Regions from separate parts of the Mus musculus genome. Here region 2 is reported to be linked to region 1. Evidence: microRNA targets listed by miRTarBase, many of them from high-throughput screens and not tested one by one. Region 1 holds a microRNA gene; the other region holds the end of a gene's coding sequence.

Evidence for each region. Region 1 holds the annotated microRNA mmu-miR-1933-5p (AGUCAUGGUGUUCGGUCUUAGUUU, at 2,857-2,880, shown strand). A microRNA usually pairs through its seed, bases 2 to 8, with sites in the 3' UTR of a target mRNA and lowers its output. Matches are read on the target gene's strand: a 7mer-m8 pairs with bases 2 to 8, a 7mer-A1 pairs with bases 2 to 7 and ends in A, and an 8mer does both.
Region 2: miRTarBase lists Supt7l as a target of mmu-miR-1933-5p. Seed matches in the 3' UTR shown: 7mer-A1 at 1,818-1,824.

The regions. Positions count from the first base shown.
Region 1 is chr11:21,343,520-21,347,519 of GRCm38, reverse strand. It overlaps Mir1933 (microRNA 1933), which reads left to right and starts at 2,845; the gene lies at 2,845-2,932. The region is part of intron 3 of Ugp2 (UDP-glucose pyrophosphorylase 2); the gene reads left to right.
Region 2 is chr5:31,512,198-31,516,445 of GRCm38, reverse strand. Supt7l (SPT7-like, STAGA complex gamma subunit) reads left to right here. Exons shown (of 5, transcript NM_028150.2): 5 at 520-1,877. The coding sequence ends at 782. Gpn1 (GPN-loop GTPase 1) reads right to left here. Exons shown (of 14, transcript NM_133756.5): 14 at 3,542-4,248. Among named protein-coding and RNA genes, the nearest start is that of Supt7l, 12 kb to the left of the region's middle.

The DNA.
Region 1 (4,000 bases):
TATTTGAGAGAATCTTTTACTAATCCTTTTTGGGGGTTGGGATTCTTCAGTTTTGAGCAACTGAATATCCACACATCCCATTTTAAAACCAGGATAACAGCAGAATGTTCACACCAGGTACCGAAGCTTGAGAGATCTTTGTAAGAATTTCAAGCCCCCATAACATTTAGAATTATGTGTATGTGATTTGTTTTTTCCATAGTAGACAGTAGACAGTCAGTGTTGCCATACTCCCATAGGAGACCATGGCCTATGAAGGTTAAGAACTGCTGTCTTACAGATCTGGTTCTGCACATCTCTAATCCCAGCATTCCAGAGGTGGAGACAGGAAATCTATGCAAGTTCAAGACTTGCTGGTCCTACGTAGTAAGTTCCAGGCCAGTCAGGATTGCATAGTAAGACCTTGTCTCAAAATAAAACAAAACAAAACACAAAAGCAAAAAGAACAAAAAACAAAAACAAAAAAAGAAACTGTACAGAACTAGATCTTTACAAAACAAATATAGATCACTTATCAGCATTTTAGCTTTGTGTTTGTGGAGGACTTGAGTCCAAAACTGACTAACTGGCACAGGGATAAGACCGACTTTCTGGTCTCCTGGGGTGAACCTGACACAAGACTTCTCTGAGAGTAAATGGCTTATCAAAAAGAATAAACCTGTGAAAGTAAGACTCCAAAATACTGCTTAAAGTTACTCTCATGGTGGTCTTTGGTTGGACAGATGGTGAGTGTGGCTGGTTCTTTGTCTAGAGTCAGAAAAAGAACCAGAGAGTTTCTTTGCTCCTTCATTGGAAAACACAAGATGTTTATATTACAATTTTTAACGATAGCAAAATTCATGAATAAAGTAGCAACAAAATAATTTTATGGTTGGTGGTCACCACAGCAGGAGGAACTGTGTTAGTTGGTCTCAGCTTTAGGAAGATTGAGAACAGCTGTTGATACACATATACCTGCACTGTAGTCTTCCACAGGACTCTCTCTACAGCCGCTTTCTCTTTCCTTTTTATCCACCTCCATCTTCCCAGGCCTGCTTCCACAATGTGAATTATATAACTAACTAACAATGGCTAGGCCAGTGGGTTAGTGTGAGGTGGGGCAGGCAAGGTGATTTTATTAAAGCTAGCAGATTTTGACTTAAGAGAGTTGTTATTTGGTCCTTCCTTGGATTCTGGTTTGTTTGTTTGTTTGTTTGTTTGTTTTTGCAAGTTCTTTAATCACCTGACTTTGTCCTTCCTAATCCATACTCAGATGGGATGTTGTGTGTAAGCCACCACCCTGTCTGATAAGGATATGGACCGCATGCTGCACATGATTGACTTATCCTATGACCGTAGCTCTGTCTGACATCTACAACAACTTATAAGAGGAGTGTACCTTTTTGTTATGTTTAAATGCTTCTTGTTTACCATCTATGTATGTTGCTTTTACATTTTGTAGTTTAAAAATATTCGGAAGTCTTTTAATCCCCTAGAATTTCTATTCAAATTTTGAGAGTTCAGTAAAGTATAGGAGTGGATTTTTCTTCATGTTTACCTTTCTAAGTTCTAGGACCTTGCTTGCCATCTGTAAAGCGCTGCTTTTTATTTAATTTTTTGCTTTTTATTTAATTTTGATTTTCTCACCCTGGTTTTCTGCCAGTTCTTTTATCATCAGATCTTCTGTACTTTATGAGGTTTAAAGTACACAGGGATTTTACAGTTTTACATCTCTTCAGTAATTTGAAATTGCTCCCATTTTTAATAAGATGGCAGTACGTGAGAGTTTGACAGGTAAAAATATCAACAGTAGGAAACAAAATACTCTAAGTCGATTAAGATGTAAAAATTGAATTAAGTGGTTTACAATGGGTTTTTAAATAAACAATTTTACAGTAGTTTGAGTTAGAGAAAATTTTTTTAGAATCCATCTTGTTTTTAGCTGGGAAGGTAATAGAGCTATCTAAGCTAATTTTTATTGTCTGTATTCCATTTTAAAACTTCTTTCTGAGTCACCGTGAACATAAGATGATTACTCAAAAGGACTGAGAGAATTCCAAAGTTCAGAACGAAGTTTATAAAACAGGAAACATGGATATGTCAAAGGGTACCTGTGACTTGACTAAATATTGGAAACAGGTGGAAGCAGGCCATTGACTAGAGATTATTTACAGAAAGGTTCAGTTAAAACAATTGTCTTCATGTACATAGTCCTAAAGCCCTTTGAGGATTGTAATGTATTCTCTAATTTCAGGAGAGCATGAAATACCATTTCAAAGGTGCTTGTTTTATCTTTTATTTTCTAAGCCAAAAGTTAATTTTTGTTTTATTTATTTGAAATGGTAAGAATCAAACCACAGTCTTAATGCAAGATAGCCAAGTCATCTCTTTGTAGATAATTCAGCTATATCTCTTCTCAGTAGTTTTCATTTAATTAAGTTTGATAGATCATTTACTAGTAAAAACCAACCTAGGAAATTTCAGCAGCAGCAGGGAGACGGCCTAACACAGCTACCAGCAGCCTAAGAGACTCTTAGAGACCTCCTCTAAGGTAGAGCCAGATCCTTGCCTGTGCTGCAGAAAAGAGTTTCAAGAAGCCCCAGAGTGAAACAAAGTTAATTATTTTGTTAATTATTTGGCAGACTCATGGGAAACGGATAGTACACAATACCAAGATATAGGCATGGGCTTCTGGAGAAAGCATTGCACTTAAGGATCTTTACCATGGTAATATGTGTAATCCTGTGGCTTCTAAATTACCTACCTTCCTTCCTTTTCTTTCTTTCACTCATTCCTTGGCAGTTTCATACATGTGTAAGATGCATTCTGGTTACCCCTACTCCTCTCAGCACCTCAGCATATCTGTCCTGATCCCACAGTCATGGTGTTCGGTCTTAGTTTGTGACCAGTTTAGTTTAACCAGGACCATCAGTGTGACTATTGGATTGGGACTATCCACTGCGGTGAGTGTGGTGCGGTCACTGGTTAGGTATACTGCTGAAGGTAATGACTGTGTTTCCCAGAATCTTTCAGTAGGAAACAGTTTAGCAGAGAAGATTAGACCTACCCCCTCACTCATCCACGTCTGGCTGTTAATGAGCTCATTTTTGTGCAGGCTGAGCGAAACCATTTCCAGTTGTTTGAAGGGTATGCCTAAGTTGGCTGGATACTGCCCATTTGGGGGCTTTTGGAAGGCCTTCTCTCTATTTTCCACACTTACATTCTTTATGCTATATCCTCTTCTGCATTGTTCCTGAGCCTTGGAAGAAATGGCGTAATGCCTTGTTTAGGACCAAGCACTCAACCGTCACTTATTCTCAGGATCCTATATAGCTATACATTTGTAATTGTTGTAGAAACTATTTAATCCGGATCCAGGGTTTCTACCCTGCCTTAGATCATTTAGTTCCCAGATAAAAATCATACATAACCTTTATATTTACAGTTAGCCTTAAACAGTACAAGAGCTGGGCAGATATCTACCCTCTATGTTGTTAGAATCTACTTTACTATCAGTAACTCTGAGTTATTACTACTTGCTATGTTTCATCTGGGCTGTTCTTAACTCCAGTTGGCCAGCCTTCAGAGCCATGTTCTCTTGACTCCTAACCCATGGTGGTTTCTCCTTTATCCTCCTGTGCCTCTCCTCTTCCTTCTCCTCCCTCCCGTCATCCTTCTCCTCCAACCGCACGCCTGGGAAACCTAAACCCCATCTATGTCTCTTCTGCCCAGCTATTGGCTATTGGCATCTTTATTTACCAAGCAGAAATAACTTATGAGCAAGGTCTGTATGCTGACTGAGTTATCTCTGGGACACCCAGGTCCTGGGGGGCCGCACTTACCATTACAATAGATAACAAAAGACCAAACCTCAACATGTTATCTACCACAAGTGGTAATTGTTTCCATATACTTGGGAGATGGTTCCATGTTATGACAGTTTAGCACTCTGGCCTCCCCAGCTGTGAGTTTATGAGTACTTGTATCGTACCAGGTATGAATTCCCATTATAATCAGAGAA
Region 2 (4,248 bases), not on the chromosome of region 1:
TGCAAGCATGAGGACATGAGTTCAAATCCCAGCACCCATGTAAAAGGTGTGGATGGCTGTGTGCCCACAACCCCAACACTGGCCAGCCAGCTTAGTGAAAACTGAGTTTCCAGGTTACGGCAATAAGAGAGCAACGAAAGAAGATGCTTCCATACCTCACATCCTTCTGTGGCTTCCATGTGCAAGCATGAATACAGGAAAATAGAGCTTCTTATGGGGGTAAACTGGAATTGTGTCTGCCTTTGAACATAATCTTTCTACCCAGTTTTCTTTTTTTTTTTTTTTTTTGGTATAGGAGAAGTAGGGGTGAATAAGGGGAAGGGAAAAACCATGAAAGTGGAAAGGAAGTGGTAATTTGGGGGTAACATTTGAACCCCAGACTAACAGTGACACCCTCATCCCATGTGGGGTGCTGTAATGAAAGCAGCTCGGAGGTCGCTAGTTGTGTGAGGGCGAGATGTGCAGGTTCTGTGTCTGCCTCCCCGTGGGCTCATAATCTCTCCTTCCCTTCATTTCTAGGTGCAGAGGTCAATGCTTCTCCTCTCTGGAACCTGGCTCACGTGAAAATGGAACCTCAAGAAAGTGAAGAAGGCAATGTGTCTGCGCATGGGGTGCTGGGCAGTGATGTCTTTGAGGAGCCAATGTCAGGCATGAGTGAGGCTGGACTCCCTCAGAGCCCTGACGACTCAGACAGCAGCTATGGTTCCCACTCCACTGACAGCCTCATGGGGTCCTCCCCTGTGTTCAATCAGCGCTGCAGGAAGAGGATGAGGAAGATTTAACTGCAGAGCGCCAGCAGGAAGCCCATGAGTAGTAATTAGACTGTATTCTTAAGTGTAGACCTTTGCTAATGTCAGAGACAGTTCCTAACCTAGTAACAGTTCACTTTGCGTCGTTTCTGTACTTCTTTAAAACAACTAAGCCACCGTTCGCAGCTGAGTTGTGATACTGACCTGGTAATCAGACCAAAGTACTGTCCCGGCTGGTTTTATCTCAGCTCCTCTCAGCCGTGTCTCTGGCACGCTTGAGAGGAGTCATGCCACTTTGATGCTCCTTGCAGAGGTGGGACACTGAGGTGCTTTGCTTAAATTTCAAAGCTTGCATATATTCATGTAAATATATGCAATATATGACGTCTATAATAGACGTCAGCAATTCATTCGTCTATTTTGTGTCGTCATTGGGAACCCAGTAGCAAGACAGACAGTAACAGCTAAACTTAAGTCCATCAGTCAGAGTTCAAACTATTCATGCTACTCAGGCCTCTTACAAAGTGAGAGCCGTGGGGACAGCTGTTACCCTTATGCAGCTGTCCCCAGAGTTCTTTCTTTTCTAGATTATTCCAGCCAGCCTCGTCATTTTTACTTTCCATATGCTCTTGTGCTGACCCAGACTTTTTTTTTTTTCGAGGCAGGGTTTCTCTGTGTAGCCCTGGCTGTCCTGGAACTCACTTTGTAGACCAGGCTGGCCTTGAACTCAGAAATCTGCCTGCCTCTGCCTCCCGAGTGCTGGGATTAAAGGCATGTGCCACCCACGCCTGACTTTTGACCCAGACTTTTAAGTATCTTTCACCATGCACACGCTTTCACCTTTTCTCCTTGTGAAGGTGGCAAACAGGGCCCACCACAGCTGCCGGGTACGCAGCATCTGGCTTTGCTTCAGAACAGCTGTTGGTTTGTTTCAGGTGTTTGTTTTGGTTGTTTTGTTTAAAAAGACATTTGAGGATCCAGAGAGATGGGTCAGTGGGTAAAGTCACTTGCAATTTAAGTTTGATACCGGGGACACACATGGTGTAAGGAGAGAACCAACTCCTCCATCATGACACACACACACACACACACACACACATAAAAATAAATTATTTTTGGAAAAAGTCATCTGAGTTATTCCAATTCTTTTTTAAAGATTCTTTGACCATTCCATATGCATGCATAGTTTTTCCCTTCCCCCAAGCACAGCTTCCTCCTTTCATGTCTTGTGTGTGTGATCCAAGGTTCATCAGAGTTGCCTCAAGCTGAGAGGGAACTCACTTCCTGAGCAAGGACAACCTAGCAGCAGCACTCACACTCTCCTTCACAACCACTGCTTACCACCCCTTCAGAGGGGCGCCGCCTCAAAGGTACCCTCCTCACAATGACACCTTGACAGGTCTTATACAGATGCATACAGATAAGCACAGCTGCAGTTAATGAGTGCTGCATCAGATCCGGAGGACATCTTTCTGCTTTCTATCTCCCTTCCAGCTCCCTATCCTCGTGTTCTTACTTTCCACCCCTCTCACTTGACATTCTCTGGTTGTAGGAGGGGTGGAAAGTAAGGGCCATACAGATCTGTCAGCCCTTCACCATCACGTCCTCTGCTCTCTGGCCAGTTACTGGTTAACTGATGCCCACTGCAATCAGCTGCCAAGGCTAAGCACAGCACCTATCTCAGCACAGGCTGAGCACAGCAACTATCTCAGATGGCACACGAGATGACAAAGGATGGCCATGCTCCCTTCCTCCATGACAAACCAAGGTTTGTGGTGAGCTCTCCTCAGAGTGTTTGAGGTTTGTTATATGTGTGTGTGCTCGTGCATGGTGTGTGTGGCCTGTATAGCGAGGCCAGAGACAACTGCTGTGTGCAGTCAGTTCTCTCGTTCAACCTTTACATGGGCGCCAGGGGTGGAAGGCATGACGTCAGGTTTTCATAGCAAGAGCCTTTAACCCACCAAACCATCTTGCCATCACAACTTAACAGTTTTCAAAGACAGTCACATCATGTACTCTAGACTAACCTATAGTCCTACCTCCTAAAGAAGTTACAGCTTAATTTTAAAATAGGATTTTTGATATTAATCTTTTTTAAGGCCTATTTATTTTATATATATGAGTACACTGTAGCTGTCTTCAGACACAGCAGATCCATTACAGATGGTTGTGAGCCACCATGTGGTTGCTGGGAATTGGAACTCAGGACCTCTGGAAGAGCAGTCTGTGCTCTTAACCACTAAGCCATCTCTCCAGCCCCTCAAATTAATCTTTAACACTCTTAAATCTATCCTGTTTTAATCTTGTGGTAGTTTGAAACTGGACCAAGGCTCATCTGGAATGGAGGTGTGGCCTTGCTAGAGTAGTCATGGTTTTGTTGGAGAAGGCCAGGCTTTGAGGTCTCATATGCTCAAGCCAGGTCTAGTGTCTCAGTTCTTTCCCTGCTACAAAGATGTAGAATTCTCAGCTACTCCAGCACCATGTCTGTTTTAAGAGTTGCTGAGGTGGTCATGGTTTCTCTCGACACGGAAATAGAAACCCAATAAGGCAGATCACATCTTCATTTTCATAAAGTGGCCAAGATGCAGTTAGTACACTGAATTCACTTAGGAAACAATCATTAAGCACCTCCATATTGTAGTATGTGTCCTCCGTTTCTCCCTCTCAGGATGTCCAGGTACTGCTGCATACCAGGCTGAAAGGATGAAGTGTAGTGGAGGGAGGAGGCAGCTTCCCCAGGGATTTTAGTTTATAGCTCTTTAGACAGTACTGAATGAATCTTAGCCAATCTTCGGTGAAACAGCTGGTGCACACACCTTTATTGGGGTGGGCTTGTGGACTTTATTCAGGAAGGACAAGGGATATATATGAACCATGGAGAGTGGGAAGGAGTTTCCAGGGTGATTGTAAAATCATTGGCTAGAGTTTAAAGTACTGTGAATGCCTCATTTGTATGGAGAAGTAGTCCATGAATGCCAGGTACTTTTGGGCGGGTTCTTATCCAGAAAGAGGAAGTTGCCTTTCCCAAGTAGAGGGGGTAGGGGTGTTGGGCTCCACAGGCTGCTGGTAAAGGGAGTTCTCCATTTTGCTCAGAGCTCAGAAGAGCTACCCAGATATTCTAGTCTGCAACATTAATTAGTTTCCCCACATCATATACTAGGTCTTGTACAAGTGATGTAAAGACAAGACCCTTAGAGAGCTGCCAGCAGGAGAGAGAGAGGTAACATTTTAAGAAAGAAAAGGAAAGGGCACCACGGAAAAGAGCTGAGCATGTCAGTTCCGCTCTGTGTATGGTTCCCCCTTAAAGAATAGGTCAAGCATGATAGCCCAGTCCTATAGGTCCCACACTCAGGAGGCAGAGGTGTCTTCATTTTTTTTTTTTTTTGGTTTTCCGAGACAGGGTTTCTCTGTGTAGCCCTGGCTGTCCTGGAGCTCACTTTGTAGACCAGGCTGGCCTTGAACTCAGAAATCCACCTGCCTCTGCCTCCCAAGTACTGGG